Callithrix jacchus: one gene and its partners. The protein of the gene in region 2 interacts with the protein of the main gene of each other region in a pairwise test. Links are inferred from orthologs where the notes say so. Each region holds a gene or a part of one and is shown on either strand. Other genes may lie near its edges. The genes, in order: GFER, COPS5 and MAP2K2.

Region 1 (10,727 bases), on a different chromosome or scaffold from region 2:
CCGAGGCCACTGCCGCGGATGCTGATGCTACCGACGCTGCAGCCGTCGCCGCCTCCCGGGAGCGCGCGCCGGCAGTTGCGGGGGCGCGCGGGACGGGGCGGGGCCGAGCCCGTGCCCCTCACTGGGTCCACGCGCGCGGGGCCAGGGCCGTCCTCTCTCTCCGCCGCGCCCACCTCCCATCCCCCACCGGCACCTGCCTGCCGGGATCTTGAGATTGAGACCATCCTCAGGAACCCGCCAACCAGATCCCCGGAGTAAGGGGGCAAGGGCGCTGGGTGCAGACTTTGCCATAGCCGGGAGGACAGACAGGAAAAGGAACCCGCTCCTCTGCGAAGGGCCCTTGGGTGAGAAAATGAAGGAGTAGGAGGTCCACGGGCTCCAGCATCTTCTCCCAACCGTCGGGAGAGGGGACTGGCTCCCTGGCCCTGGTCCCAGGAAGACCAGATGGGCAACTGGGATCTTTCCCATGGCCCCCCACAGTGCTCTAGCTGGTCCTTCAGCAGGTTCTAGCCTTGGGCTGGGAGAGTCTGGTGGCAAGAAAGGCCTCCACCCCAGGAGCACCTGTTGAGGGATGAGGAGGACCACCGTGGCCATCGCCAATGAGAGTGTTGGTTTTTATGTGTCTGCTCCTTGCCCGTGGCCAGGTGCTGGCGCTCCCAATGCCCTCCCTACTTCTGGGTCTCCCTAGGGCACTTGCAGCACCTAGTCTGGAATCGAGGGCAGGGAGAGGCATCAGAGACCAGCAGTTGGATGGGGTCAGTGCCTGGCTGTCCTGTGCCCTGCTGGGTCCCCTCCAGACCCCAGCCCTGGGTGCAACAGGGTCCCTCCCCTCATGTTCCTGCTGGGCTGGAAGTTCAGATGACTCTTAGGTTTCTGTCTAGAGCATTGAGATGTCTGCACTGACTGAGCATTTACACCACCAGGTGCGTCACCTGTGGAGGCAGAGTCTGTTACCACCCTGTTCTTCAGACAGGTAAACAGCCCACCTGCCTGCTACGACAACCTGGTGTACATGGTGCCGCCTTGCCCAGCCCCCCTGGAGCCCATTGGTTCTGGTGTGGAGCTCTTTCTTCAGTCAGGCTGGGCACAGTCGGGCAGAGCAGCTGTTGCCAGAGGCGCCACTCACTGGATTTCAAATCCATCTACTGTGCGTCTGATCCCGACTGTCTCACCCACTGGCCCCAGGCCTCCCCTCTGTCATTCATTTTCCTTTTTACATCAGCACGCAGACATGCTACACTTTCTCCTAAAAAGCCACACTATTGACCCCACCTCCCTCCCCTCCAGCTGCCCGCAGTTATGAGCAGCAAGCTTGAGTCTTCTATTCTCTGCCTGCACCACCCCTCCTCTCTCCCTCTGAGACCCGGCAGAATCAGCTCCCACCACCACCTAAACTCAAGGCTGCCACTGACCTCTCCGTGCCAATCCCAAGGGCAAGTCTGATGCTGCTGTCAGCTCAGTTTTTCTTTTGAGACAGAGTTGCACTGTCACCCAGGCTGGAGTGCAGTGGCTCAATCTTGGCTCAAGACTGCACAACCTTTGCCTCAGAGGCTCAAGTGATGCTTCTGCCTCAGCCTCTGGAGTGGCTGGGATTACAGGCATGCCACCGTGCCTGGCTAATTTTAAAAAATATTTTTAATTTTGGTTTTGCCAGGCTGTGCTCTAACTCCTGACCTTAAGTGACCTGCCCACCTTGGCTTTCCAAAGTGCTGGGATTACAGATGTGAGCCATTGCACCCCACCTGGAGATCCTCCTCCCTCCTGGTGCTCCTCCTACCTCATGGGCCTCTCCTCTGTAACCTGTGAGCCTTAGGAGCCCAGGGCTTGACCCTGGTGGTGGTTGGGGGGGGGTCTCTCCTCCCTCTGTGCTGACTCTTCTGGTCTGTGTGTCAACAGCTCTGGAACACTAGCTTGAGCTAGAACCTTTCCTTGAATTTCAGTTCCACTGGCCTGGATGCCCTCAACAGCCTCTGAGTCAAAGTGAAGAGTTTTATTTGGGAGTGAAACTTCAAGAAAGACAGGGGAAAAGTAAGGCAGCTAGGAAGGACAGCAGATACAGGCAGTGCGTTCCTGAGCTGACCACAGCCTCACCAGAGGACCCGGCTTGTTCCTGAGGCACTCATAGGCCTCGAAAAAGGCCAGAGAGAAGCACTGAGTCTGGGTGAGGAAAGGGCACTTTCTCTCCTGGCAGAGCCCCATCTCCTTTCTCTCATTTGTGCCACTTGGCCCCCGGGGCAGTCTCTACAGAAGCCAGCAACCCCGCAGGACCAATCTGGTGGGTGATATGGCAGCTCCCTCCACACAGGCCTCAGGATAGAGGTCCCTAGAGCTTTAAGCCACAAGAGACACTGTTGCTGGGCTGCTCTGGCTGGGGAGGCCCAAAAGCTGGTCCCCGTCACCCCCTACTCACTGCACTCATAGCCTTTTCTGTCTCCAGCACACACAGCTGTGCCCAGCAGTCTCTGAGGACTCCATCCTCACCTGAGCATTCTCAGACTCTCCCCTCGGTGGACCCCACGTCAGCCCCAACATGAGGTAAGTCTGCTCTCTGGGGTCACTCAGTGATTGCTCCAGCTTCCTCGCCAGCCTCCCTGCTCCACCCTTGCCTGCCTCATCCCAGCTCAGCAGCCAGAGGACCCTTCAAAGCCACATCACTTCCTGCCATACCCTGGCTCCAAACCCGCCAAGAACCTACTGTCACAAGAGCTGGGGGTAAAAGCCATGGCCTTTCTGGGGCCTGGGAGGCCTCATGCTGTCTGGCCTCCCTGTACTCCTCGAACCCCCGTATCATTGATTCTGGCCCCCACTTCCCCAACCAACCAGCGTCCTTGCTGTTCCCGGCCCTCTCTCACCTTGGGGTTCCTCCCTTTCCTCCTGAGGAACCAGGACCCCAGCAGGAAATGCAGCTGAACACAGAAGGACAGAGCAGGCCCCGTGCACTGCTACAGGCCCTAGCACAAAGCACACAAAGCCAAGGTCCTCAGTCACTTCAATGTTTTATTTGGACCTCAAACTTTGAAGAAGGGGACAGCACAAATCCCCTGTGGACAGGCATGGCACAACGCTGGCAGGCATGAGCCAGGCAGGGAGTGGGCAGGATGGTGGACCCTCAGACAAACCCCACCTGAGCTTTCCTGTAGGGACTGAGCACAGTGGAGAGTTCAGCCCATGAAGTGAGCAGCACAGAGCCATGGGGGGCAGGGGCCTGCGGGCATCCCTGGCTGCACAGTGGGTAGGCAATGGCCTGGGCTCCAGGGACAGGCATGGGGTCGCCCAGCCAGGCCCAGTCTTCCTGTGTGAGAAGTGAGGCACCAGGGCATGGGGAGAGCAGGAAGCCACATCCTGAATGGCAAGGAGCAGCCCAGGCTCCTCCGGCCTCGCTCACCTGCAGTTCAGCTGCTGCTCCTTGGGGGCTCTACTGAAGAGGCGGCCAGCAGGTGCCTGCTGTGGGTGCCTCTCTGTTCCAAACCTGAGAGGGGCAGGGCCCCCCGGGCAGTGTCCTGGGACCACTCAACTGAGACATAACAGGCTCTGAGCCTGATGCACTTTAATGAGTGCCCTGCCCCTATGCAGCCAGGCTACTGCAAGGGCACTGGCTGGCTGTCCCATGGGCTCTGGCTGACCAGCCTCTAGTCACAGGAGCCATCCTTCCAGCCGTCACGCCAGCGCTCATCCACTTTTGAGCAGTCAAAGTCAGGCTTGCCCAGCTTGCGGTTCACCTCATTGTGCAGGTGGCACAGCCACTGCGTGAAGCATGCCCGGGTGCGGGTGTCTGGCTGGTTCCTGCACAGCCTGCGTAGGGAGAGCATGTGAAGAATGGGAGGACGCAGCGGCTCCACTACCCCTGCCAGCTCTGTCTGCTCCCAAGGACGGAGAGCTGGGCCACTGCTCTGGGCTTCACCTCGGAGTGCCCTCATGCTCCAAGGGATGGGAATTCCCACAACAGGCCTGACCCTTCAGCTCCTTGGGTGTGGCAAATTCCCAGGGCTGCTGAAACACCGACAGGGCCTCAAAGAAAAATATTACAGCACAGACCTAGCAATTTTACAAGCTCCTAACACCCAGGAGGCGGCATCTAGTGTCCCTGGCCCCAGGCAGAGTGTGAACTGGGTGGGGCTGGACACAGCCTTGTAACTGAAAACTGGACTTGATTCTTAGGACCTGAGGCTCTGATGCCTCAGTCAGCAAGAGACCTCATTCTGACTGCCCAGGCTGAAAGCTACAATGGCAGCTCTGCCCCACACATCTGGCCTAGAAACACCTGCAAGGGCCAGTTCTGGCTCTTGGATGCCTCAGTGAGGAAGAGGTGGCTCTTGGGAGCAAAAGTAGTGGGTTTCCAAGATTTTAAAACAGCAGTCTAGAAGTCAGGCAAAGTGGAGTCCTCCCTAACCTGCGGGGAGCTGCCTTTGGTGCCAAACAAGGCAGGGAGGCCCTTCCTGGGAGACCTGTGGCCGTGGGAGAGCAGTTCCCAGCAGCAAATCCTGGCAGCTTGGCCTCAGACAAGAGGAGGAGGCTCAGATAGCCTCTGTCCTCACCTGTTGGTGGTCCCTGCTCCCCAGCAAGCTTCTGCCACCTCTGCAGGTTTCTCTAGGTTCCCCGGTATAGCGTCAGTCAGGAGCCCCAGGCCCAGGCTCCAGGGTAAAGCTCTGATGCCTGCCAACGCATCTTACCTTTTCCTTAGGTCTTCAGCACACTCCTCACAGGGATAAAACTTGGAAAATAAATGTATGAACTGGGCCATGTCTTGCTGCTGTTCTGGGGTGGGCAGGTCGGGGTAGTAGGCGGCCAGGGTGTGGAGGACAGCCCAGCTGTGGCGGCCCAGTTCCTCGCGATCCGGCGGGCAGTCCTCCCTAAATTTGCTGTCCTGCTGCGGAAGGCCGACCGAGAGTGAGTTCATTCTCCGAACAGAAGCGCCCAAAGCTCCCCCCTTGCACGGCCCAGCCGGTGGCCCAGTGGACTCCGGCCAGCGTCCTGCAGACGATCCAGCCCAAACGCAGATGATGCCTGTAGGGCCGGACCTAACTGGGGGACAAGGTTCAGGGAAAGGCAACCCTGGGGAGCTCTGCCGGGGCACCTGGGCGGGGGCTGCGCGGGGTTGGGGGAGGTCGGGCAGGGATCTGCACCTTCTGCTGCGTCCGCATCCACGTCTTGAAGTCCACGCAGGCCCGGCAAGGCCGCCTCCGGGAGACGTCCTCGGTGACCTGAGACTCGGAGGTCGGCGCCTGGGCTGGCGTCGGGGCTGACCTCTCAGCCGCGTCTCTCCGCCCCGCTCCCCGGCCCCGTGCGTCGGTAGCCAGGTCGTCTATCACTTCGGAGCGCGCGCCACCGGGCAAGAAGAAGTAGTTCCCGCTATAGAAGCGGCCCCGCTCGCCGGGCGCCGCCATGTTGCCCGCGCAAGGTCTGCCGGGCTAGCTCGGCCTCCAGATGAGCCTCCAGGTCGGCCTCCAGGCCAGCGTGCGAAAATACCAGCGGGAGGCGCGCGCCGTGCTCGAGGGGGCCGGGCCCGAGCGAGGGCTGGGGGCGGAGTCGGAGGCGGGGGCCGGGCCCGAGCGAGGGCTGGGGGCGGGGTCGGAGGCGGGGGCCGGGCCCGAGCGAGGGCTGGGGGCGGGGTCGGAGGCGGGGGCCGGGCCCGAGCGAGGGCTGGGGGCGGGGTCGGAGGCGGGGGCCGGGCCTGAGCGAGGGCTGGGGGCGGGGTCGGAGGCGGGGGCCGGGCCCGAGCGAGGGCTGGGGGCGGAGTCGGAGGCGGGGGCCGGGCCTGAGCGAGGGCTGGGGCGGAGTCGGAGGCGGGGGCCGGGCCCGAGCGAGGGCTGGGGGCGGGGGCCGGGCCCGAGCGAGGGCTGGGGGCGGAGTCGGAGGCGGGGGCCGGGCCTGAGCGAGGGCTGGGGGCGGGGTCGGAGGCGGGGGCCGGGCCTGAGCGAGGGCTGGGGGCGGAGTCGGAGGCGGGGGCCGGGCCCGAACGAGGGCTGGGGGCGGGGTCGGAGGCGGGGGCCGGGCCTGAGCGAGGGCTGGGGGCGGGGGCCGGCCAGCGGACCCGGGTGGAGGCGGAGCCACAGACCGCGGCGCCGACCTGGGAGGGGACGGAGCTGGAGCATCCGGGCGCTCCGCGACCCGCGGCGGGTTTGCGCAGTCCGTGGCGGCGCTCTCGCCTCCTCGGGTAGAACAGCAGAGTGTGGCGGAAGGTGCGCCGCGGCCATGCTGTGGACCTGGGCTGAGGCCCAGACGAAGTACGTGTCGCGACCCGCGACGCCCCCATCGCTCCGTTCTGAGCGTCCTGCGTGTCCGCGGCCACGCTGTGCCCTCCGCTGAGGGGCGCGTCCACCCGCCGGGTGCTGGGAACCCTGGCAATGCGGGGCCGGCGTGACCGCACAGAGTGCTGGGCTCGCGGCCTCGCCCCGGCGCCATGGCAACGGGCGCCTGGCAACGCGGGACGGGGCGCGGCTGCCGAGGGTTTGAGAGCCTCTGGCTCTCGGCGCGCCCCCAGCTGCCGCCGGTCCCACGGCCCGAATGAGGGGTCGGGCTCCCAGTTGGAGCCACCTCTGGGATTCCTCTGCCTCCTTGCTTTCATTCGTCCTTTACGCTATTATTTGTGCAGTGGCCTCTCTGCTCCAGGCGCTGTTCCAGGCGCTGGGCAGTGCAGGGAACAGAGCTCTGCTGCCTGATCTCCTCTGTTCATAATTCAGTGGTCAAGATGGGGGGGCGGGGGGGGAAAACGAGTCACGCTCGTGAATGTTCCCGTACAAACTGGTGGGGCCGTGCAAGGGTGGGGTAAATCTGGAAGGCCTCCTTGAGGTGGTGACCCTTGGGCAGAGGCCTGAAGGATGAGGAATCAGCTGAGGAGCGCCTTTAAGACCAAGCTCATTAGCTGGGCCTGGTGGCGCACGCCTGTCGTCCCAGCTACTCGGGAGGCTGAGGCAGGAGAATTGCTTGAACCCAGAAGGCGGAGTTTGCGGTGAGCCGAGGTCACGCCATTGCACTTCAGCCTGGGTAACGAGCGAAACTCCGTCTCAAAAAAAAAAAAAAAAAGACCAAGCTCAAGGTGGCAGGGTCTTGGCGTTTTGCAGGAACAAAAAAGGCCAGTGGGCCCATCAAGGACCTGGTCAGCAGCTGCGGGGATTGGGAATTTATTCCAAGGGAGGGGAAGATGCCAGTCAGTTTTGGGCAAGGCCACCCAATCCGATCCCATTTCAGTTTGCTGAAAATTCCTCTGGCTATTATACAAGGAGTGCATTTCTTTAGATTTCTTTCTTTCTTACAGAGAGTGGATTTTTCTCTTTTCTTTTCCTTCCTTCCCTTCTTTCTTTCCTTCCCCCTTCCTTCCTTCTTTCTCTTTTCTTTCTTCTGGTAGGGTCCTGCTCTGTTCCCCAGGCTGGAGTGCAATGGCACAATCATGGTTCACTACAGTCTCGACTGCTTAGGCTCGTGATCTTCCCACCTCAACTCCCCAAATAGCTGGGACTACTGGCACGTGCCACCACACCCAGCTAATTTTTGTATATATTTTTTGGTACAGATGGAGGTCTCACCATGTTGCCCAGACTGGTCTCCTGAGCTCAAGCAGTTCCCCCGCCTTGGATTCCTAAAGTGCTTGGATTACAGGTGAGAGGCACCAAACCCGACCTTGGGGTGGATTTTGTGGGAACAAGTGAGGAGGATATGGATGGAGGGTGGGGTGGTTGTACCATTCCGGTAAGAAAAGAGGGTAGGAGAGGAAAAAGCGGGAAGGGGCCGGGCGCGGTGGCTCAAGCCTGTAATCCCAGCACTTTGGGAGGCCGAGGCGGGTGGATCACAAGGTCAAGAGATCGAGACCATCCTGGTCAACATGGTGAAACCCCGTCTCCACTAAAAATACAAAAAATTAGCTGGGCATGGTGGCGCGTGCCTGTAATCCCAGCTACTCAGGAGGCTGAGGCAGGAGAATTGCCTGAACCCAGGAGGCGGAGGTTGCAGTGAGCCGAGATCGCGCCATTGCACTCCAGCCTGGGTAACAAGAGCGAAACTCCGTCTCAAAAAAAAAAAAAAAAAAAGCGGGAAGGATCCAGGGCCGATGCGGTGTGGGGCAGGCTGTGTCAGCTGGGGTGTGGAGGGGCCTCAGAATTCCTCTAGGCCACTGCTTGTGAATAAATTCTCCCTAGCTTCTCTACTGTCTTCCAGGAGAGCAAAGTCTGCCCTGGGTTGATTCACCGCCAGGTCCTTGGGGCCCTCAGCTGAGATAGGGAGGAGATGAGAGCTGGCTGGGGGAGCCCTGCAAATCAGCCCTATGTGAGCAGGTGTTCTTAGTCCGTGCCAAGACCAGGGACAACTGGAGGGCCTCAGAGAGTGCTGGTGACACACACACAAAGGCCCTTTGTTGCAGCCAAGGCAGATTGCTGCAGGGATGCCCCAGAGGCCGACCGCTCCCTGAAGGGGCTGGAGTGGGGGCATCCCAACACAGAACTGGTGACTCCAGCACCAGGAAGAACCACTGTGTACCGAGGTTGAATGTGGCTTCTGAAGCTATAAGGAAGCAGCCAGAGAGGTGTGGCACCTGGGCAAGCCTCTGACTAGGCGGTGTTTGCAGGAGGTCTGTTTGAGAGGTGGCTCTCAAAACAGTCCTGGTGACCACTTCCCTGACCACCCCTCACCCCTCAAGTGCCAGGGACTATACACATGGGCCGTCTTTCTCTTACCCCAAGTCTCCTCACTGCAGGGGAACCCCTGGGGTGAGCCTGTGAGGTCTGCCCCTCCCCCAACATATACAGAAAAACTCACAATAATTATACATTTAGCTCACATTTCCTCCTCTGTGAGCTGGGGACATGAAGAGGCCTTTCCTCCAGCATTAGGATTAAGCCAGACAGAGCACTTAAAGCCTTGAGCACTGAGTCCTCGGTTCTGCACAGAAATCCCCGGGCCAGTTCTAAGACAGTTGTTGGGCACACGCTGGCAGAAGGTCATACCAGGCCAAGTACCTTGCAAGGTGGGGGAATCCAGAGAGGTGGGCAGGACTGGTGGCATTTTGATGGGCCCCGCCTTCTCCTCCCTCCTCCCTTGGCCAGAGTCAGGCAGGAGGGCCCCAGGCAGCAGTTCCTCCCACCCTCTGCCCCTTAGTCTTGCACGCCTCTAGGGCCAGGACGCTCATTCTTCCTCCTAGCAGCTCTGCCTGGAAGTTCCCCAATCCCTGTGCTACCGTTCCCAGATCTTGGGCTTGGGAGACAGCAAGAAAGCTGGAAAGAACTCAGCTGGGGCAGCCCCACAAGGACCCTACAGGCTTCTGTCCCAGGCAGCCAGGTTCCTAGGTGCCCCAGAGCCCTCTGGAGCACAGGGAGGCAGAGGAATCCTTACCCAGTATTTCAGGACTCTGCAGCCTGAAGCCCGCAGCCATGGCAGGCCCCCGATACCCGGATTCAGTGCGAGGGGCGGCTCTGGTGCAGATCAAGAGGCTCCAAGTAAGACTTGGCTGCGTCTTTAGTGGCCCTAAGGCATAGGAAGGGGGTGCCTCCGTCAGCATCTCCAAGGCACCCATGACTTTACGTCCCCTAGACATTTGCCTTCTCCGTGCGATGGTCAGACGGCAGCGACACCTTTGTGTGCAGGAGCTGGGAGGAATTCAGGCGGCTCAAGGTGAGTGACCCTGGGCCACCCTAACGCCATGCTTGAGGCTTCCCCACCTGGGTGCCTACCAGTGCAAGACCTGTCAGTGACTAACTGGAGGCCCTTCATCCTGCCTGAGGCTCCCAGCCCTTGCCATCAGGGTGAGGGACCCCACCCTCCTAAGGGTGCACAGTGGGCTCTGGGAGACTGATGCCCCGGTTCTTGCCCTCAGAAGAACCTCAAGGAGACCTTTCCGGTGGAGGCAGGCCTGCTTCGGAAATCCGACCGCATTCTCCCAAAGCTTCTCGGTCAGGCCAGCCTGGGGCCGGGGACAGGGAAGGCGGTGGCTTACTGGGGGTGGGGGGTGTGGCTCAAGGGACCAGTGAAGCCCGAAGCGGGGTCTCAGTGTACGTTTTTTGTGGTGTCCTTAGATGCACCGCTATTGACACACAGGGGGCGCACGAGCCGCGGCCTGGCACGCCTGCAGCTGCTGGAAACCTATTCTCGGAGGCTGCTGGCAACTGCAGAGCGCGTGGCTCGGAGCCCAGTGATCACAGACTTCTTTGCACCGCAACCTCTGGACCTGGAGCCCGCACTGCCACCCGGCAGGTACCTGACTCGCCCCCAACTCCCAGCCTGCAGCAGCGTTTGGAGCTGGGAGGAGGTCTAAGGTGGGGGTTATAGCCAGTGAAGAGCAGCAGAAACTAGGAGGCTGGCGGTCTTGCTGGGGTTGTGTGGCACGCCTAGTTTCACCTTGGAATCTACCTACCTCTCACCCGTGCGGGCTGCTCTTCCCAGCCGGGTGATCCTGCCCAACCCGGAGCCACCTCTCTCCCGTGCTGCCGGCCGCCTCTCCATCCACAGTCTGGAGGCTCAAAGCCTGCGCTGCCTACAGTCCTTCTGCACTCAGGACACACGGGACCGGCCTTTCCAGGTGCAGGCCCAGGAGAGCCTGGATGTGCTGCTGAGGCACCCCTCAGGTAGGGCCCGCCAAGAACCCAGGGACTTGCCTCTCTGCCCCTGGACACCAGGGAGCCTCAAGATCTGAGTCCCCACCCACCTCTTGTGCACAGGCTGGTGGCTGGTGGAGAACAAGGACCAGCAGACAGCTTGGTTTCCAGCGCCCTACTTGGAGGAGGTGGCTGCAGGCCAGGGCT
Region 2 (10,161 bases):
TAGAATTTTCTAAGAATCTCTAAATAGAAAAATAAGTGCAGTAGCAGCACATGGGTAGCCAAAGTATTCTTTGAAGTTACAATAAGTGGTATAGAGAAAAGGGGGCACTAGATAATCACTTATTCATTTAAGCAGTAATTTTTTTGGTGCCTACTCTGCTGTGTGCCATGCCCTGTTTTAAACGCAAGGATACGCAGTTCACATTCTAAAGGGGTCAAAAAAAAAAAAAAAAAAAGAAGCAAAAACATCAGATGGTTGCAAGTGCTAAGAAGAAAAAGTAGGGAAAGAGGAAACAGAAGGTGTTATTTTCCATAGGGTGACTTATGAACATTTTCTATTATGATGACCCTGCAAACAGATACTCAATGCTTAGTTAGCGAGCCACATGGAAATAAGGGAGAACGCTCTAGGCAAAGGGAACAGCAAGTGTCAGGGCCCTGAGCCAGGAGCCTGGTGGCACATTTGACAAACCATAAGGAAGTCAATATGGCTGGATCGAAGATCAGCAAAAGTTCAGTGACAAGAGATGAGTTCACAGAGGTTGTAGGAGCCAGACCACAGAAGGCTGTGTAGTCTGTGATAAGGACTAAGGATCTTGTTCTTGGTGAGATGGGAAGTCATTCTGAAACGGAAGAATATGATCTGACTTAAATCTTAACAGAATCAGTCTGGCTGAAAACAGACCTTTAGTAAGTGAAGGGCAGGCCATGCACAGTGGATCATGCCTGTAATCCCAGCACTATGGGAGGCCAAGGTGGGTAGATCACCTGAGGTTGGGAGTTTGAGACCAGCCTGACCAACATGGAGAAACCCAGTCTCTACTAAAAATACAAAATAAGCCAGGCATGGTGGTGTATGTCTGTAATCCCAGCTACTTGGGAGGCCGAGGCAGGAGAATCTCTTGAACTTGGAGGCAGAGGTTGTGATGAGCCGGAATCGCACCATTACATTCCAGTCTGGATAACAAGAGCAAAACTCCATCTCAAAAATAAATACATACATACATACATACATACATACATACATACACACAAGAAGTGAAGGGCAAAAGCAGAAAGACTTGCCAGAAGGCAAGTGTGCTTGATTGAGGCTCCAGATGGCAGTGGCTTGGGTGAATGTGATAGTAAGAGAAGTGGTGAGATATATTTAGAAGATACAGAAAATTGTCTCCACTGGCTTAACATAAAAAAAAAATTAAGATATAATTCAGACATCATAAAATTCACCATTGAAAAAGGTATGTAGGCTGGGCATGGTGGCTCACACCTGTAATCCCAGCACTTTGGGAGGCCAAGGCAGGTGGATCATGAGGTCAGGAATTTTAGACCAGCCAGGCCAACATGGTGAAACTCCGTCTCTGCTAAAAATACAAAAATTAGCTGGCTGTGGTAGCACGTGCCTGTAATCCCAGCTACTCAAGAGGCTGAGGCAGGAGAATTGCTTGAACCCAGGAGGTGGAGGCTGCAGTGAGCCACGAAGATTGCGCCACTGCACTGCAGCCTGGACAACAGAGCAAGGCTATGTCTCAGGTTGGGGGTGGGGGGAAGGTATGTAATTCAGTATTTTTAGTAAGAATTCTTAAACTTTATAACTTTAACTTTTTACTATGGCTTCTTAAATTTTTCAAATATTTAAAAAATTAGAATCTTTGTTCAGTGGAAATTATATATTTTGAGGGCTGCAGACATGCTAGTGTCAGCTAGCCCTGAACCCATCTTTCACTTGTTATAATTTTATATAGGCTAAGTATCTTGTACATTGAAAAAATGTTTAGGTTGTGTGAAAGGCAAATGACATACTAGATTGAAACATTAATAAAAAATGCAAAAGAGAAAAATTAAAAATGCAAACATTCACCTAAATTCATATACTTTTATTATTATTGTAAAAGGTATCACAAAATGCATTTTGTCTGAGACTTTTTTCTGATCTGTAAAATAATGAGCTTAGACTAGCTGATATCTAAGGTTTCTTTCAGCCTCCTGATTGCTAGTACTAGGACTATGCCACATCATCTGGCTAACTTTGAAAACATTTTTTTTTCTTTTTATCTTTTTTTTTTTTTTTGAGATGGAGTTTCGCTCTTGCTACCCAGACTGGAGTGCAATGGCGCGATCTCGGCTCACTGCAACCTCCGCCTCCTGGGTTCAGGCAATTCTCCTGCCTCAGCCTCCCGAGTAGCTGGGATTACAGGCACGTGCCACCACGCCCAGCTAATTTTTTGTATTTTGAGTAGAGACGGGGTTTCACCATGTTGACCAGGATGGTCTTGATCTCTTGACCTCATGATCCACCGCCTCGGCCTCCCAAAGTGCTGGGATTACAGGCTTGAGCCACCGTGCCCGGCCGAAAACATTTTTTTTCTGAGACAGAGTCTCAGTCCGTCACCAAGCCAGAGTGCAGTGGCATGGTCTCGGCTCATTGCATCCTCCGCCTCCTGGGTTCAAGTGATCCTCCTACCTCAGCCTCCCGAGTAACTGGGACTACAGGTGCGCGGCCCCACGTCCAGCTAATTTTTTGTATTTTTAGGAGAGACGGGGTTTCACCATGTTGGCTAGGATGGTCTCAATCTCTTGACCTCGTGATCTGCCCACCTTGCCCTCCCAAAGTGCTGGGATTATAGGTGTGAGCCACTGTGCCTGGCCCAGATATGTTTTTAAATTACTTACTGTTTGCAGTGTACACCAAAGTCTTCTATTTTATTAAGTGGGATAGTCTGGTACTCAGAAGGTCCTTCATCAGGAGGTTTGTAGCCCTAAACAAAAATGAAGAAAACAGAAGATTTATATGTGTGTGTGTGTGTGTGTGTGTGTGTATGGGGGAACATCATGATTTTTATGCAGCTTTATAAATATAGGATCAATTTTGGGAGGTAAACATTTAATATAAGCATTCTAATAAAAAAAAATACTGTTTCTACTTTTCCCTCCACCCTGTTTGATGGCTGTAGGCTGGATTTGGCTCATAGATTTATTTTTCTTCTTCTTAGGTGATGTACTTTTGTTCTAATAACTATTTCAGATTGCAGACTCCTGCCAGGGAATGAAATAGACCTGCAGATTTAGTTTGTTTTCTAGTACCTGCCAGATTGCCACAGGAGCACAGGTACTTACTAATAAATAAAGACTGCTTTCCCAGTAAAATTAACAATATAGAACATAAATGTTATTACTCTTTGCTAGGGACATAAATATTATTAAATTGTTTTAACAAAAAGAGCTATTGCTAATGTCTTTAACAATAAGTCAAATATTTGGAATTTAAAAAATATAGAGACTTCCTATAGTCCCAGCTATTTGGGAGGCTGAGTTGGCAGGATAGCTTGAGCCTAGAAGATGGAGGCTGTAATACACTATGATCGTGCCTGTGAATAGCCACTGCACTCCAGCCTGGACAACAGAGTGAGACTCTCTTTAAAAAAAAAAAAAAAAAAAAGAGTTACCTTTGGGTATGTCCTAAAGGCGCCAAGATTCACTTTCCCTGCAGATATCGTTCTTGTTGGATCAATCTACAAGAAAGATGTATTTAATATTTGCTGATATAAAACTGTATGCCTTTTAAACATTATAAACCTATAAATGTATACATACATATAATACTATATATATATATACACAATAACCAAATAAGAATAAACAAACCAAAAAAACCATAAAAGTTCAGTAAGGGGGTATATATAAGTGTCTCACAGTTAACTTAGAGATCAGAATTCATTATTAAAACATTTACGAATGTTATTTAAAGGTTTGCACATCTATTTTTTAAAGTTTTATTTTTTCCTTTTAATAGGTGAATAATTCCTACCTTTTTCATAGAAACCTGGATTGCATTTAAAATGCCCTGAGCATAACAAGAGCTGCTCTAGCAATTCCCACTTAACTCAGTTCAGTCAACACTGATTGAATGCCTATGATGAGCTGGCACTGAGCCATAGATGCTATGACAACCCACATTTTACAGAGTGGGGGAAGTGAGAAGCACAGTGGTTAAATAACTTGCTTAAAGTCCTAGCTTCTAAGAGATGGAATTCACATTCAAACCTAGGCAGTCTGACACCAGAGCAATTTTTCTTTACCACACTGTTCTTATTTCTCAGTATACTTGCTTCAGCAAATCTTCACAAAGAACATAATTAAACTAGTTTAAAATTCTTACCACCACTGCTACAAATGGTTCCTGGAACTGCTGATTGAGCATCTGAGTACTAACATCAATCCCAGAAAGCCAGCAGCCATAGCCAGGGTGGCTATGATACCACCCAATTGCATTTTCAAGGCGACCAACCTAACAAATAAAGGGGCAAAAAAGTTTAAGATTACTGTTTAACTAATTTACAAGGTTCTATCTAGTACAATAAGGGTAACCAGTATCCTTCCCATCTCTTTCTCCTCAACTACTTAGTTTTCTCAGCCCAGATGTGAAATCTACAGGCAATTGCTTCCCCTTACAGATATATTCTTTGCATACAGAATATTGTTTGCACATATAAAGATTGATAAAAACATACACACACACAATAGCATACCACATAACATAATAGTGTTTTACGCTTTGCTTCTTCACTCAATAAACTTGGGAGTTTGCTCCATGTAAGTTATCAATATATATGAGTGTAATCTTTTTTTTCTGAGAAAAAAGCCTGTCACCCAGGCTGGAGTGTGGTGGTGCAATCTTGGCTCACTGCAACCTCCGCCTCCCAGGTTCAAGTGATTTTCCTGCCTCAGCCTCCTGAGTAGCTGGGATTGCAGGTACATATCACCACGTCCGGCTCATTTTTTTGTATTTTTAGTAGAGACGGGGTTTCACCATGTTGGTCAAGCTGGTCTTGAACTCCTGACCTTGAGATCCACCCATCTTGGCCTCCCAAAGTGCTGGGATTACAGGCATGAGCCACCGTTCCCAGCCTCAGTTACCTTTTATTTCTTTTAAAGGCTGCCTAGCAGTCCATTGATGGATATACATAATTTATTTAACCAGTTTTACACTCAGGAACTGAGTTAGGTTGTTTCTAATTGTGTGTGTGTGTTTGTTTTTTGAGACAGACTTTCGATCCTGTTGACCAGGGTGGAGTGCAATGGCATGATCTCGGTTCACTGCAATCTCTACCTCCTGGGTTCAAGTGATTCTCCTGCCTCAGACTCCCAAGTAGCTGGGATTATAGGCACCCGCCACCATGTCCAGCTAATTTTTTTGTATTTTCAGTAGGGAGGAGGTTTCAGCACGGCCAGGATGGTCCCCAAATCCTGACCTCGTGATCTGCCCATCTTGCCCTCCCAAAGTACCAGGATTACAGGTGTGAGGCACTGTGCCCAGCCCAAATTTTTATAATAAGTGTGAGAGTTTATTTGAAAAAAATAAATAAAATCCATGCTACAGACTGGGTGCAGTGGCTCATGCCTGTAATCCCAGCACTTTGGGAGGCTGAGGTGGGTGGATCACTTGACGCCAGGAGTTCGGGACCAGACTGGCCAATACAGAGAAAACCTATCTCTACTAAAAATACAAAAATTGGGCCGGGCATGGTGGCTCACGCCTGTAATCCCAGCACTTTGGGAGGCGGAGGTGGGTGGATCATGAGGTCAAGAGATCGAGACCATCCTCGCCATGATGAAACCCTGTCTCTACTAAAAATACAAAAATTAGCTGGGTGTGGTGGCATGTGCCTGTAGTCCCAGCTACTTGGGAGGCTGAGGCAGAAGAATCGCTTGAACCCAGGAGGTGGAGGTTGCAGGGAGCCGAGATTGCGCCACTGCACTCCAGCCTGGCAGCAGAGCAAGACTCAGTCTCAAAAATAAATAAATAAATAAAATAAATATACAAAAATTATGGAAGGGCACGGTGCCTCATGCCTGTAATCCTAGCACTTTGGCAGGCCAATGTGGGCAGATCACTTGAGGTCAGGAGTTCAAGACTAGCCTGGCCAACATGGCAAAATCCGTCTCTACTAAAAATACAAAAATTATCCAAGTGTGCTAGTGCACACCTATAACCCCAGCTACTCAGGAGGATGAGGTTGGAGAATTGCTTGAGCACAGGAGGCGGAGGCTGCAGTGAGCTGAGATCATGCCATTGCACTCCAGCCTGTGCAACAGAGCAAGTCCCTGTCTTGAAAACAACAACAACAACAAAACCCCACAAAAAACAAATAAAAAAAACCCCATGCTATAAATCTTATCAGGCTTTTAATCTCATATATTTTACATAGAAATCATTAAAATTTAATGTAAAGGGGATAATTTTAAGTCTAAAAACTCAAAAGTCACCTTGAGACTCTAATTTGCAATTAATAAATTGTAAGAAACAACATTTTTACCTGTTTAGCATTTTCTATATATGCGGCCATGTACTCATATGCAGCAGCCTGTGCATTTACTCGGGTTTCAGTGCCCTCCACAGGCAAAGCAAAACTGTCCATAATGATCATGGTTTCACCATCCACCTTTCCTAGCATCAGACCCATCACTTCTAAGTTGCCTCCTGATCTGGCGTGCATCACCATCTTCAGTAGAGCCAATGCTGAGATTTTGCAGTACTTAAAGTAATGGTGACTACAAAACAAAATCACGATGCAATTAAATTTCTTATATAAAGCACAATTCAGAATAAAGTATTTCTGAAGATAAAGAGTAAGTATTGAAGGAATATACAGTGATGGAAGGGGAGTGTAGACTATGGGGAGAAAAAGTTGAAAAGGAAAATTTCTGCAGGGTGGAAACAAGCATGTTATAGTCTTGTAACATATCATCCTTGGGGGAGGGGAAAAGTGTGAAATAGTTTTTTAAAATGTGCTATTCAAATAAGGGAATAATAGGACCAGTTCAATTTTTTTCTCCATTAATTTAGAATCACCCAATCTTGGATTCTGACTGCTTGGATAGTCGTGCCTAACTGTTTTCAGGCCTAACCTCTAGCCTAATGGTTAAGGATGTGAGTTCTGACATTCATCTGCCGAGGTTTGAATCTTGACACCGCATTCCCTAGCTGTGGCATTGGGACAACCATGTAATATCTGTGCCAAGGTTTCCTTTTCTGTAAATAGGGATATTCACAGTAGTTGTTATGATGAAATAAAGTAAATGAAATGTATATAAAGTGCTTAGCTTAGTGCTTTACACATACTAGAAACCTAGTAAGTGCTAGCTGTCATTAGCATTATTAATTATTAACCTGTCTTTTAATCCTATTCTCAAAGAACAGTGTGTTGAAGGGTGGGATTCCCTGTATGTCAGCCTCAAATTAAAAAGTAGCTCTAAGATTATAGTTTCCTATGATCACTATTTCAGAATTTGTCATCAGTAAATTAAACTCTTGAATAAAAGTACATTTTTGTCTCATTGATGCAGTCCAAGATAGCTAGGATGAATATAATTAGAGTCATAATTAGACAGTGAGGCAGGCTGTTTCTAAATATTTAAGAGTACATCAACCTAAAATGCAGCCTGCTACAGAAAGAAGACAACCAAGCAACTTAATCAGCCATAGAGAGCAGTCAGTCAACGTATCTACAAAGTTTTTTTAGATGTCTGCCCACAGAAAGAATCCAAATTTAATTCCTAAGCTTTGCCAGATTTCAACCGAAAGCTGAAAAATGTGTAGACTTCATGTTGGAAGTCAAAACATGAATCGAAATCTTGGCTTCTCCCTTTACTGGAGAAACGAAGAAAGACAAATTACTATGCTCCTCTTACATATATTTTAGAGGACTCTTTTTATACATTATCTCATCTTTATGACAACACCAATAGGTAGGTCTTATTTACATGTTACGATAATTGAAGATGGATAAGTAAATTTCCTAAGGTCAATTAACTAGTTAGTGATAGTGTGAGATTTGATCTTAGGTCTGACTAATGCTCAGTTAGGAGTTCACTTATCTCAGTGTGACCATAAGTTACATAATGCATTTGCTTGTTTTTTCTTTTAATTTGTAAAAAAAAGGATAGATATACTGTACTGGGTTGTCATCAAGATTAAATGAGGTGGAAATCTCTAGCTAGGTGCCTCCACAATTCACCACTGTGGAATCTGAATACTGAGAGACGTCTACGGCCGTAACACCCTGAACGCACCTGATCTCGTCTGAGTACTGAAAGGCAAGGCTAGCCCTGTAAAAAAAAAACTGAAGCAGTAGAAGTAGGTCTTCTTTTTGACCACATCTCTCCTTTCTATCTATCCATTAGCTTTTGTGCTCTTTTTACTTTCTCCCAAACACTGCTCTCAGGAAAAAGAAAATATGGGTAAAGATCCCTTGACTTGTCACCACTCCCAGGGAAAAATGGATATTGCTAAAGGGCAAAGAGCCTTAAGCTCTAGTTTTATAATATTTGGTTTATGGGGACTGGTGGAGTAACATTTTAGAGACCAGGTAGAGCCTCCGTGTGTCTCCTAAATAATTACCAGCAATCGAAAAACTATTATAGGCCCAGGCCTGATGCTTGTAATCCCACCACTTTGGAAGGCCAAGGGGAAAGGATCGCTTGAAGCCAGGAGCTAGAGACCAGCCTGAGCAACACAGCGAGGACCCATCTCTATTTAAAAAATATAAAATAAAATAGTTCATAGCTATTTTTGAGACCTTGGGCTGCTGACTCGATTTCTGCAAACAGCTGCAGTCCCCAGTTTGGGGTAGAAGACCCAAACAAGGTGCATGCCGATACTGGGTTCAAGGCAGTGTGTGGGGCATATATGACAATACGAATGTTCAGAAGCAACAATTTAAATCACCGCTTGTTGTTCTCCCTTGACATCATCCGGGGACAAATGGGTTAAAGCGACAAAAAAGGGAGTCAAAGCCCCAGAGGAGGGCTTAGACTCTACTTGCAAATCCAAAGCGCCTATTCTGTCCCCCTCCCCGTCGGTGAAAGCTCTTCAGAACCCTTTCAACTCCCATTCCCTCCGGGTCTCTTAAACTCCCGCCACCCCTTCCCTCCCCTGCGTCTCGCCAGGGACCTCCTCACTCCTTAGTCCAGGGCTTCGCCGCCAGGATTTCTTGCTGCTGCTTCTTGTCGTATTTGTAGATTTCATCGATACTCTGAGCTTCCTGCATGTTGTTGGCCAATTCCCAGGTTTTCTGGGCCATACCGCTCCCGGACGCCGCCATCGCCGAGGAAACGGAGAAGCTGTCGTATCCACAACCAAGGGACAACTTTACCTCGCTAGGTCTCCTGGTGTGGGCCTTGGACCCTCCGCCCCACGGGAGCAAACTCTTAACTAGACTCTTGGGGCAGCCATGACACCTAGAACCGGAGGTGCAGTTAGTACAGACCATTCAGAGAAGACAGGGGTCTTTCCGGGACGTGACGATAAAAACAGTATTTACACTAATAGGGAGAGACAAATCTTCTTGTGGTTTAAATGAGAACATCTGGACTCGGGAAATTGTATGTGCGAAATAAACAAACAAAATTATAGGCTATGGTAATGGTATAGTCTTCCGCACCGGAAGACGGGCATGAACCTTCTCTCTTTGTACTGCGCAGACTCGGCCTCCGCCATATTAAAGGTAGGTGGAGCCTGGGATGTGGGGGGCGGAAAGTGTTTTTGTGTGGGTATAGGTACCTTAAACGAGATAAGTTTGTTGAAAGACTAAAAGGGAAGGCTGTCTGTTGTAAAACGGAGCTATACGTTGTTATGGAAGTTTGTTGAGAGGAAGAGAAACATGGCATTCCAGTTTACTTTAAGGTGATTCGTTGCACATGCGTAAAAGCTAACTGGCTTGTGGTGGCTTGGCACTTCGCATGCAGATGGGCTTTTTCTAGAGATGCGAGGATGCGGTGGGTACTCCTTGATTGATATTACCATGCCTTTTTGCGCGTCGGTAAAGGTTAACATCTGCATATGAATTACGTGCCATTACTGATCCGAAAATGCCCAGTACTCTGTTCTTTTAACAGGTTACAGTTAAATCTTTGGCACTGCTGTGAACCTCATTTGCCCCCAAGGCCTAATTAATCTCGGCAACTGGTTAGTTTTCTTCCTACAGTTAATACTATGCTTAGTTATTTTATTTATTAGTTTACGTGTTTTAGATTTTCTTTTTTCTCCATCTCTTTACTCCATCCGCGCAAAATTTTAAGTTTCAAGACACAGGGAGCAAGTCTGCTTTCCTTGTTTTATCCTCTAGCACCCTCAGTATATTTTTTTCCCTGAAAAGATAGCATC
Region 3 (10,161 bases), on a different chromosome or scaffold from region 2:
GAAAACAACATGGCGTGAGCCTGCTCACTGATTTATTGTATTTCCAAGTCAGGGTCTTGCTGCGCTGCCCAGGCTGGAGTACACTGGTGCTGTCCTCTCACCTCAGCCTCCTGAGTAGCCGGGACTACAGGCATGAGCCACCACGCACAGCTAATTTATTTGCTTATTTTTGTAGATACAGGGTCTCTCCATGTTGCCCAGGCTGGTCTTGAACTCCTGACCACAAGTGACCCTCCTGCCTCAGCCTCCCAGAGTGCTGGGATTATAGGTGTGAGCCCACTTTGATGTTATTTTAAACTCTGGCTGGGCAAACAAGCCTTTATTTTTTCTGAGATGGAGTCTTGCTCTCTTGCCCAGGCTGGAGCGCAATGGTGCAATCTCGGCTCACTGCAACCTCCGCCTCCCGGGTTCAAGCAATTCTCCTGCCTCAGCCTCTCGTGTAGCTGCAGTTATAGGTGTGCGTTACCACACCCTACTCATTTTCATATTTTTAGTAGAGTCGGAATTTCACCATGTTGGCCAGGCTGGTTTTGAACTCCTGACCTCAGGTAATCTGCTTGGCCTTCCAAAGTGCTGGGATTACAGGTGTGAGCCACCGCACCTGGCCTGCAAGCACACCTCTAATCCCAGTGCTTTGGGAGGATCTCATGAGCCCAGTAGGTCGAGGCTGCAGTGAGCGATGACTGAGCCACTGCTCTTCATCCTGGGCACCAGAGTGAGCCCCGGGTCTCAAAAACGAAATAAAGTCTGTATTTCCAAATGCACAGCTAGATCTTCGGGCCAGGTAGAATGGCTCACTCCTGTAATCCCAGCACTTTGGGAGGCTGAAGCAGGAGGACCTTTGGAACCCAGAGTTTGAGAGCAGCCTAGGCAATGTGAAGAACCCCTATCTCTATAAAAAAATCAGTGGGAATTGGCCGGGCGCGGTGGCTCACGCCTGTAATCCCAGCACTTTGGGAGGCCGAGGCGGGTGGATCACGACGTCAGGAGATCGAGACCATCCTGGTCAACATGGTGAAACCCCGTCTCTACTCAAAATACAAAAAATTAGCTGGGCATGGTGGTGCCTGCCTGTAATCCCAGCTACTCAGGAGACTGAGGCAGGAGAATTGCCTGAACCCAGGAGGCGGAGGTTGTGGTGAGCCGAGATCGCGCCATTGCACTCCAGCCTGGGCAACAAGAGCGAAACTCCGTCTCAAAAAAAAAAAAAAAAATCAGTGGGACATGGTGGTGCACCTGCAGTTCCAGCTACTTGGGAGGCTGAGGTGGGAGGATCACCTGAACCCAGGAGGTCGAGATTGCACTGAGCCAAGATCACACCACTGTGCTGCAGTCTGGACAACTCCTGTCAGAGAGAAAGAGAGAGACAGACAGACAGAGAGAAAGAAGGAAAGGAAGGAAGGAAAAGAAGAGAGAGCGAGATGCTCTGAGCATTCTGAGTCTCACTTCCGGGGAGAACAGTGGAAGTGATGATGGGGGATCTGGGTTATTGATCAACATTTGAGGGTTTGGTTTTGTTTTTTTTTTTTGAGACGGAGTCTCGCTCTGTTGCCCAGGCTGGAGTGCAGTGGCGCAATCTCGGCTCACTGCGACCTCCGCCTCCCGGGTTCAAGCGATTCTCCTGCCTCAGCCTCCCGAGTAGCTGGGATTACAGGCACGCGCCACCACACCGGCTAGTTTTTTGTATTTTTTAGTAGTAACGGGGTTTCACTATGTTGACCAGGCTGGTCTCGAACTCCTGACCTAAGATGATCTGCCCGCTTCAGCCTCCCTGAGTACTGGGAGTACAGGCATCAGCCACTGTACCCGGCCTACATTTGAGTTTTTTATAAGACAAATGTGTTCATATACTACCTGCATAACAAAATTACAATTACAAGAACATTTTCTTTTTTTTTTTTTGAGACGGAGTTTCGCTCTTGTTACCCAGGCTGGAGTGCAATGGCGCGATCTCGGCTCACCGCAACCTCCGCCTCCTGGGTTCAGGCAATTCTCCTGCCTCAGCCTCCCGAGTAGCTGGGATTACAGGCACGCGCCACCATGCCCAGCTGATTTTTTGTATTTTTAGTAGAGACGGAGTTTCACCATGTTGACCGAGATGGTCTCGATCTCTTGACCTCGTGATCTACCCACCTCAGCCTCCCAAAGTGCTGGGATTACAGGCTTGAGCCACCGCACCCGGCCTAAAATAATTATTTTAAGGTTGATTGATAAAAACCGAGAATAGAAGCAGCTTCCCCCTGGCCCTGGCTCGCCGGGGTCCTAGCCCTGGTCCTAGGCTGTCTGAGGCCCCGCCACAGCCACCCCTCAGCCTCTGTGTCTGTGTCTTCAGTCTGGAGCTGGTGGATGGAGTCATGTGTGTGCTCGAGAGACCTCAAAGCATGTTGGGTTTTCCAGAACTTCCTTCAGCCTTTCTCTCCGAGCCCAGCCGGGCAGAAGTGGCCAGAGAGCAGCGACCCGGGCGTTCCTTAGTCTGGGATTTCTCCCCTGCCTCCTCACCACGTGAATGAAAGCCGTCCCTGGGAAGGCTGGGCACTGTGGGAGTCCTGGAGCAGCGTTGGGGAGAAATCCTGGTGCCTCCTGCCCACCTCTAGGCTCCCCCCGCCCACCTCTCCAGCCCCAGTTCCCCTTTCCTCTCTGCTCAGTGCGGAAGAGACACACGCCAGGCATGTGGCAGTGGAAACTCGGCTTGTCCCCGCCTTCTGTCATGGGGGTGGCCTGGCAGGTGTGTCCAGAGCCTCTACCTTTGAGGAGGCACCTCAGGTGGCCCCAGGGCCTGGGGTTTTGGTGTTCAGGGGCTTTGGTCCCCAGGTTTGTTGCCCGGCAGCCTTGGGGAATTTCTGTTCCCTTGTTTGTGACTTGGATATGGGGCCACACCCAGGGACCAGTCCACCCGGGCAGACTTGTCTCCAGGCTCTCCGCAGGATGCCCAGCACAGGCTGTGGGAGGGGCTGAGGTGACCATCACCTGGGCTGGCCTCACTGGGGTCCCTCCTGCAGTCCACGCACCCCACCGGCACCCGGTCACACTTAGCCTGGCCTTTCCACCCTAGACGGCAGGGACAGGCACAGAGCAGGCGCCCAGAAGTGGAGCCGCAGGGCTCAGCTAGGGAGCCCTGTGGGCATCTGGACAGGCACACGCTAACCTGCTGCCTCCTCCTATGTGGGGCAGCGCCCAAGTCTCCTCCATGCCCTCATGTTCCCCTTCCCTTCACATGCTGGGAAGAGGACCCAGGCCCCAGAAGCTGGTTTCCAGCCCGGCTGCCTCCCATGCCGCTCACACAAGCCCAGTGTGCAGGCTGCAGGGAGTGCCGGCCCCACAGCTGGCTGAGCCCCGGCCAGGACTCGGGCTGGACCCGGAGCAGAGCCTCTGCCCCGGCGACCTCAGGAGGTCAGAGTTACGCAACTGATTCTGGGATGGGTCGGCAGGCGGGGGCCCCCTGGGCCCTGTTCCTTCCCCACCTCTGGGGGTGGGTGTGCCGACTGAAGGCAGAACTGTCGAAAGCCCCCCAGCCCTTGGCCAGTGGGCGGAGTTGGGCTCTGGCCTCTGCTTCCAGTCAGGGGCAGACCACCCCCTCACCTGGAGTTGGGGATGCGTCCGTGGCTTCCCTGGCTTCCCGGCCACCTGTGCAGAGCCTGCACTCTCTGCCTTTGTGCCCTCTAGGATGGCGGCTCCCTGGACCAGGTGCTGAAAGAGGCCAAGAGGATTCCCGAGGAGATCCTGGGGAAAGTCAGCATTGCGGTCAGTCCCTGGCAGACCCGCCTCGCGACCCCACCCACACCCTGCGCAGACCACCCCGCACGGCCAGGCTTCCAGGACCCACTCACCGTGTGCTGGGAGTTAGGGTGGCCCCTGTGGAAAGACAGTGGCCAAGGCTGCAGCCACCCCCTGTGGAGCTTGAACAAGTGACATCCCTTTTGGGGCCTGAGGTCGCCATCTGCCGAATGGAGATGTGAGGTCCCTCCTCTCTCTTAGCATTCTGTTTGCCATGCTGGTCCCTTCTTGCCCTCGTGGCAGAGGGATGCTGGCGGCTGGCACGTTGCAGGGGACGGGAACTTGTTGAAGGGGAAACCCTAGGGTGGGAGGTGGGACACCAGGACCTCCAGACACACTCCCCGCTTGCTGTTAGAACTGCCACCTGACCAAGCCACAGGGCGGGGCGGGGGGGGGGCTTCTCTGCTGCTGGGTCTCCAGCACAGCCACTCCGCAGAGCCTTGAGGTCTCAGAAGACTGCACGTGTTTCTTCTAGAAGCTTAGGCCTTGCCCATTGCAGGCGAGTCTGGCCTGACTGTAGCGGTGTTGGGAGGGAGGGAGTGCGCCGCAGGCCACCTGCTGCCAGACGCGGCGTTTCACTGCCGTCAGCGCCACCCCTGTTGCTTGTTTCACTTCTCGGGATATTCCTTCCAGGGTGGGCCTGGGGGAAACGGCGCCCTTCCCAGGCACCCTTACCCCACCCCATCTGGGGGCCCTTAGCACAGTCCCTGGGACCCCAGATGCATGACAGATGCGGCTCTTCTGGCTGGTGTGGGCGGACTCGACAGCCTGTCTACTCCCAGGCCGTGGCCACTGCCCCAGCTTCTGTGGGGCTCAGCCTCGAGGTCTGATTCGGAGGCAGTAATGGCGTCACCACCCTACAGCCGGGTGGGAACCGGGCTTCACTCGCACACACCGGCACGGCCCTCCGAATTGTCTTGTCTCTGCCCTGGCTGGCTCCGCCCCAGCAAGCTCAGCACAGCCTGAAACAGGGTTCCCGCCTCGGGTCCCTTGCTCCAGCTCTGGCTGCTCAGGAGTCAGGCCCCGGTGGCCTTGTCCCGTGACCCCCTCGGCACTCCCCTGCAGGTGCTCCGGGGCTTGGCGTACCTCCGAGAGAAGCACCAGATCATGCACCGAGGTAAGACCCAGCCCGCCCACCCCAGAGCCCCGCGGGCCGGCGGGCAGCTGTCAGGCGCCTCTCACCTGCAGCCTGCCCCTGCCAGATGTGAAGCCTTCCAACATCCTGGTGAACTCCAGAGGGGAGATCAAGCTGTGCGACTTTGGGGTGAGCGGGCAGCTCATCGACTCCATGGCCAACTCCTTCGTGGGGACACGCTCCTACATGGCTGTGAGTCCCCCAGCTCTCCTGCCTCCCACAGGCTTGCCCAGCTCCTTGGCGCCCCGGGATGTTCCCGCCCAGCCACACCCACCCTCCCATCAACTCTCCCCACTTGCCACAAGGCTTCCCTAAAGCCGGTGCCTCCTGGAACCCGCTTGTCGGATTCCCCTGCTCTGTATGTTTTATCTGTATTACCTACGCTGCTCATGAACTCCTCGGCTTAAGTGACCCTCTTGCCTCGGCCTGCCAAAGTGCTGGGATCCCACCAGCACCGAGCCACCGCGCGCTGCCAGATTTCCCCTTCCTGTTGGAATTCTCTCGTAGCTTTTTGTCACTAGCAGTGCCTACCAGGTTTCTTTTTTTTTTTTGAGACAGTCTTGCTCTGTCGCCCAGTGCAGTGTCGCTGGAGTGCAGTGGCGCGAGAGCCTCCGCCTCTCGGGTTTAAGCAATTCTTCTGCCTTGGCCTCCCAAGCAGCTGGGACTACAGACACGCGCCACCACACCTGGCTAATGTTTGTATTTTTAGTAGAGACAGGATTTCACCATTTGGCCAGGCTGGTCTCAAACTCCTGACCTCAGATGATCCACCCGCCTCACCCTCCTAAAGTGCTGGGATTACAAGCATGAGCCACCTCACCCAGCCCCTTTCTTTTTTTTCTTTTTTATTTGTTTTTGTTTTTTTGAAACAGAGTCTTACCCTGTTGCCCAGGCTGCCGTGGTGTAATCTCGACTCACTGCAACCTCCATCTCCTGGGTTCAAGAGATTCTCCTGCCTCAGCCTCCTGAGTAGCTGGGACTACAGGCACCTAAGCCCAGCTAATTTTTTGTATTTTTAGCAGAAACGGGGTTTCACCATGTTGGCCAGGATGGCCTTGATCTCCTGACCTGGTGATCCTCCTGCCTCGGCCTCTCAAAGTGCTGGGATTACAGGCGTGAGCCACCGCGCCCGGCCTGGACTCTCGGGTCTTTGAGGAAATGACTGGGGATTCCGCAGTCTGCCCAGCTGAGCCTCAGAGCAGGTCTGAGACGTCAGCGTGGAGAAGGAGCCCTTCTTCCTGGGCCCGTTGTCCATTTCTGAAAGCACAGAGCACGGCGGGCTCTTCGGGAGCTGCGGCCAGCACCCGCTCCAGGCCTGAGGCTGGAGGCTCTTCAGCTGCCGGCGGCCCCGGGTGGGTGAGCTGGGAGGTGGAATCACTAAGGCTTCCCCATCGCTGCGGTTGTTAGCCATGGACAGGGTGACTGGGCCTGGAACGGGCCCAGCCTGCCCTGCCACCCAGCCCCCTCCGGTTCCAGCTGCCATCCCGCCCCTCTGGCTGTCTTCTTCCCGCCTCTGCTGCAGCCGGAGCGGTTGCAGGGCACGCACTACTCCGTGCAGTCGGACATCTGGAGCATGGGCCTGTCCCTGGTGGAGCTGGCCATCGGGAGGTACCCCATCCCCCCGCCTGACGCCAAGGAGCTGGAGGCCATCTTTGGTCGGCCCGTGGTCGACGGAGCAGAAGGAGAGCCTCACAGCATCTCACCTCGGCCGAGACCCCCTGGGCGCCCCATGAGCGGTACGGCCTGAGTCTGCCACTTCCGGTCTGGACAGACAGTACCCTGCTCGGGGCCTGCTGTGCCGGGACAAGCAGCTGCCTCCCCTCTGGCCCCTGTTGCACCACCTGTCCCCCTGGACAGTGCCGACTGCGGTCAGCAGTCCTCAGATGGTCCTGGTGTTTCCGGGGACAGAGCTGGAAGCAGCGAGCACCCCAGACCTGTTCTGCCCGGGGCAGCTGCACCTGTCCTTGCCAGCTGGAGGGATCTGGGCACGTGGTTCTGCCGCCTGGGGCCTGGGCCCTTGCATTTTCCAACATTTTCTCCTGAAAGCACTCAAACAGACAAAGGTAGAAGGCGTTGGCCACCACAGAGCGCAGACCCTGCAGGTGACACACGCTCCTGTGTGCGGCCCAAGCCTTCCAGGGAGCCCCAGAGTGGACAGCTGACTTGGCATGTCCCTCGGTGGCCTGCTGCCTCCAGCCCCAACACACGCAGGAGGGAATGCAGCCTGGGAGGGGGTGGGAGGGCACAGACCCTGGGGACAGCTGGGCTTGCAGAGGACAATCCAGTGCTTAGGGTGGGCACCTTGGAGCAGGAGTTTCATGTCCCCAGCCAGACATGTCCGAGTGGACACTTGCACCACCTGAGGGGGAGCAGGGGAGTGGACCCATTTCCAGCACAGAATCACAGGAGGGTCCTGTGATTTTTTTTTTCTTTTTTAAGTCAGACATTAGGGAGAGTTAGTGAGTTAGACCCACAAAGGACTACAGTTGGTTTTAAAACCTCATTTCTGAACTAGAAAGCTCATACCCCTCACAACTCACTCATTTCAGGTGAGCAGTTCAGCAGTTTCCATTCACACAGTGCTGCACCCCACCATCTCCAATTCCAGAACCTTCTCAGCGCCCCATCCCCATCCGCCATCACTCTGCATCCCCTTCCTGCCTCTGTGGACTGGCCTGTTCTGGGCATTGCACAGAAATGGGGTCACACACTGTGTGGCCTTCTGGGTTTTACGTGTGGCTTCTCTCCCTGAGCGCAGTGTCCTCAATCCACGCCATGGGGGGTGTCATGGCCTGGCTCTTTTTGAGAGGCCGTAACACAGATGGGCCACGTTTTGTGGTCCGTCCACCCTGGATGGACACTGGGGCTGTAAGAAGGTGATTTTCACAGCACTGGCAAGCCCACTTCTTCCCCTGCAGCCAGACTGCTGTGAAGTCTTGATCTAATCCCAGGGAGACTCCCCGGGTGCTAGTCCTCAGGCCTGGCCCCGGCCCCTCCCAGGTGGTATACGGGGCCCCTTCCACGCCTGCCAGCCCCGCCCCCAGCCCATGGCCCCAGCCCGCTTGCCCATTTTGCGACAGGAGCAGAAGGCGAAAGTCCAGCAGCCAAACCCAGGCCTGGCCGGCTGGTTCTCAGACAGGGGTCAGCCACCCCCAGCCAGTCTCCTGTTCTGAGTGGCGTTCGGGGCCTGCCGCCATCACCACCGGCAGCTCCTTGCAAGGTCACACTGCTGTCCTTGCCTGCGGTCAGCGCCGTCCCTCCCCCTGCCCGCCAGGGAGCAGGGGTGATGACTTTGGCATGGCTGGCAAACCTCACCGAGCCAAATGTGTGACTTCTCAGAAAATGTTCATGTTCCTTTTGGCTTTTTCTTTTTAATTCACTAGAGGCTCAGGTGAGAAGTAGCTGTCCCAGGGAATGGAGGCCAGAGACAGGCCAGGGAGCTTCATCTCCGGCCTCTGCACACCGGCCTCCGATTTCAGCTGGCATGGGGAGGGGGGCGCTCGGCGGTGATCAGCCCCCTTGGAGCCCAACCCCCAGCAGATACACGGTGGCCACCAGCCCATCTCACGTCCATCTCTGTCCCCATGCAGGTCACGGGATGGACAGCCGACCTGCCATGGCCATCTTTGAACTGCTGGACTATATTGTGAATGAGGTTTGTGCGCCACGCCCTTTCGCTTCTCTTTTCTTTTTTTTGTTGTTTGTTTTTTAAGGCAGAGTGTTGCTCTGACTGGAGTGTGGTGGTGCAATCTCTGCTCACTGACCTCCACTTTGCAGGCTCATGTGAGCCTCCCGTCTCAGCCTCCCGGGCAGCTGGGATTACAGGGGCACACCACCACACCCAGCTTTTTTTTTTTTTTTTTTGAGATGGAGTCTCGCTCTGTTGCCCAGGCTGAAGGGCAGTGGCCTGATCTTGGCTCACTGGAACCTTCACCTCCCGGTTCAAGTGATCCTCCTGTGTCAGGCTCCCAAGGAGCTGTACCCTCCTAAGGGATTACAGGCAGGGATTCCCACCACAGCCGCTAATTTTTTGGTTTTTTTGAGACAGAGTTTCACTCTTGTTGCCCAGGCTGGAGTGCAATGGCATGATCTCGGCTAACCGCAACGTCCGCCTCCCGGGTTCAAGCAATTCTCCTGCCTCAGCCTCCCCAGTAGCTGGGATCACAGGCATGTGCCACCAAGCCCGGCTAATTTTGTATTTTTAGTAGAGACAGAGTTTCTCCAGGCTGGTCTCAAACTTCTGACCTCAGGTGATCCGCCCACCTCGGCCTTCCAAAGTGCTGGGATTACAGGCATGAGCCACTGCGCCCAGCCTAATTTTTGTATTTTTAGGAGAGGCAGGGTTTTACCCTGTTGGTCAGGCTGGTCTCAAACTCCATCCTCAGGTGATCCACCCGACTCACCCCCCGAAATGCTGGGATTAAGTCATGAGCCACAGCACCTAACATTTTCTTTTCTGTTTTTTTTTATTTTATTTTAAAGATGAGGGGTCTGGGTACATTGGCCAGGTTGGTCCTGAACTCTTGGCCTCAAGCAGTGCTCCCACCTCAGCCTCCCAAAGTGCTGGGATGACAGGTGTGAGCCACTACACCCGGCCGCTTCTTTTCTTAAGAGATTATCTCACTCTTGCCCAGGCTGGAGTGGAGTGGTACAGTCAGCTCACCGCAGCCTCCACCTACCAGGATTAAGTGACCCTTGCTTCTCAGCCTCCCAAGTAGCTGGGACCACAGGCACAAGCCACCATGCCTGGGTAACTTTTTAATTTTTTTGTAGAGACGGGATAATGCTATGTTGCCCAGGCAACAGGTTTGGTCTCGAACTCCTAGACTCAAGCAATCCTCCGACTTGCCTCAGCTTCCCTAGGGGGTTCGGATGGCAGGTGTGAGCCACTGTGCCTGGCTGGTATTTCTTTTATGAGTGAAGTTAATCATTCCTGCCAGAATCCAGCACTAAAAAACAGACACAGCAAACTCGACTGGGTTTTGCTGGGGAGGGTGGGTGGACAGAGCCAGTCCCAGGTGCACCACGCCTCCTGCCTTCCCCATGCGGCACAAGCCAGCTCCTCCCCAAGCACTGCTTTTTATAAGACGAACCCAGAATTCTCACCACAGCCTCTCACCCTGAGTCCAGAGGGAAGCACGTGCCAGCAGCCCTGGGCTCAGGCCGAGGAGCCAAGCTGCCCCTTGAACGGTGGCCCAGTGTCTGCATCAGAGCATCCTGGAGCCTGTGGGCATGGACTATAAATCACCCTG

What was found.
Region 1: the proteins of COPS5 (region 2) and GFER interact in a two-hybrid assay, tested with the Homo sapiens proteins (2 studies listed by BioGRID). The link is inferred for Callithrix jacchus from reciprocal best matches to the Homo sapiens genes COPS5 and GFER.
Region 3: the proteins of COPS5 (region 2) and MAP2K2 interact in a two-hybrid assay, tested with the Homo sapiens proteins (2 studies listed by BioGRID and IntAct). The link is inferred for Callithrix jacchus from reciprocal best matches to the Homo sapiens genes COPS5 and MAP2K2.

Annotation. Positions count from the first base shown.
Region 1 is NC_133513.1:4,760,066-4,770,792, forward strand, and holds GFER (FAD-linked sulfhydryl oxidase ALR), read right to left. Parts: upstream 5,403-10,727; 5' UTR 5,385-5,402; coding exon 5,124-5,384; intron 4,868-5,123; coding exon 4,671-4,867; exon of another isoform or gene 3,793-4,670; coding exon 3,630-3,792; 3' UTR 2,980-3,629; downstream 1-2,979. Other genes in the region: uncharacterized protein LOC144578555, read left to right, coding at 924-973, 1,941-1,984; NOXO1 (NADPH oxidase organizer 1), read left to right, coding at 7,511-7,596, 8,354-8,515, 9,334-9,425, 9,520-9,600, 9,803-9,878, 10,024-10,179, 10,369-10,550, 10,644-10,727.
Region 2 is NC_133517.1:22,935,147-22,945,307, forward strand, and holds the start of COPS5 (COP9 signalosome complex subunit 5), read right to left. Parts: upstream 9,235-10,161; 5' UTR 9,101-9,234; coding exon 8,958-9,100; exon of another isoform or gene 8,871-8,957; intron 6,549-8,870; coding exon 6,314-6,548; intron 4,285-6,313; coding exon 4,156-4,284; intron 3,509-4,155; coding exon 3,443-3,508; intron 2,756-3,442; coding exon 2,670-2,755; intron 1-2,669. UniProt on the Homo sapiens protein: Probable protease subunit of the COP9 signalosome complex (CSN), a complex involved in various cellular and developmental processes.
Region 3 is NC_133523.1:3,841,814-3,851,974, reverse strand, and holds part of MAP2K2 (dual specificity mitogen-activated protein kinase kinase 2), read left to right. Parts: intron 1-3,663; coding exon 3,664-3,741; intron 3,742-4,839; coding exon 4,840-4,891; intron 4,892-4,976; coding exon 4,977-5,101; intron 5,102-6,431; coding exon 6,432-6,645; intron 6,646-8,499; coding exon 8,500-8,564; intron 8,565-10,161. UniProt on the Homo sapiens protein: Catalyzes the concomitant phosphorylation of a threonine and a tyrosine residue in a Thr-Glu-Tyr sequence located in MAP kinases. Activates the ERK1 and ERK2 MAP kinases.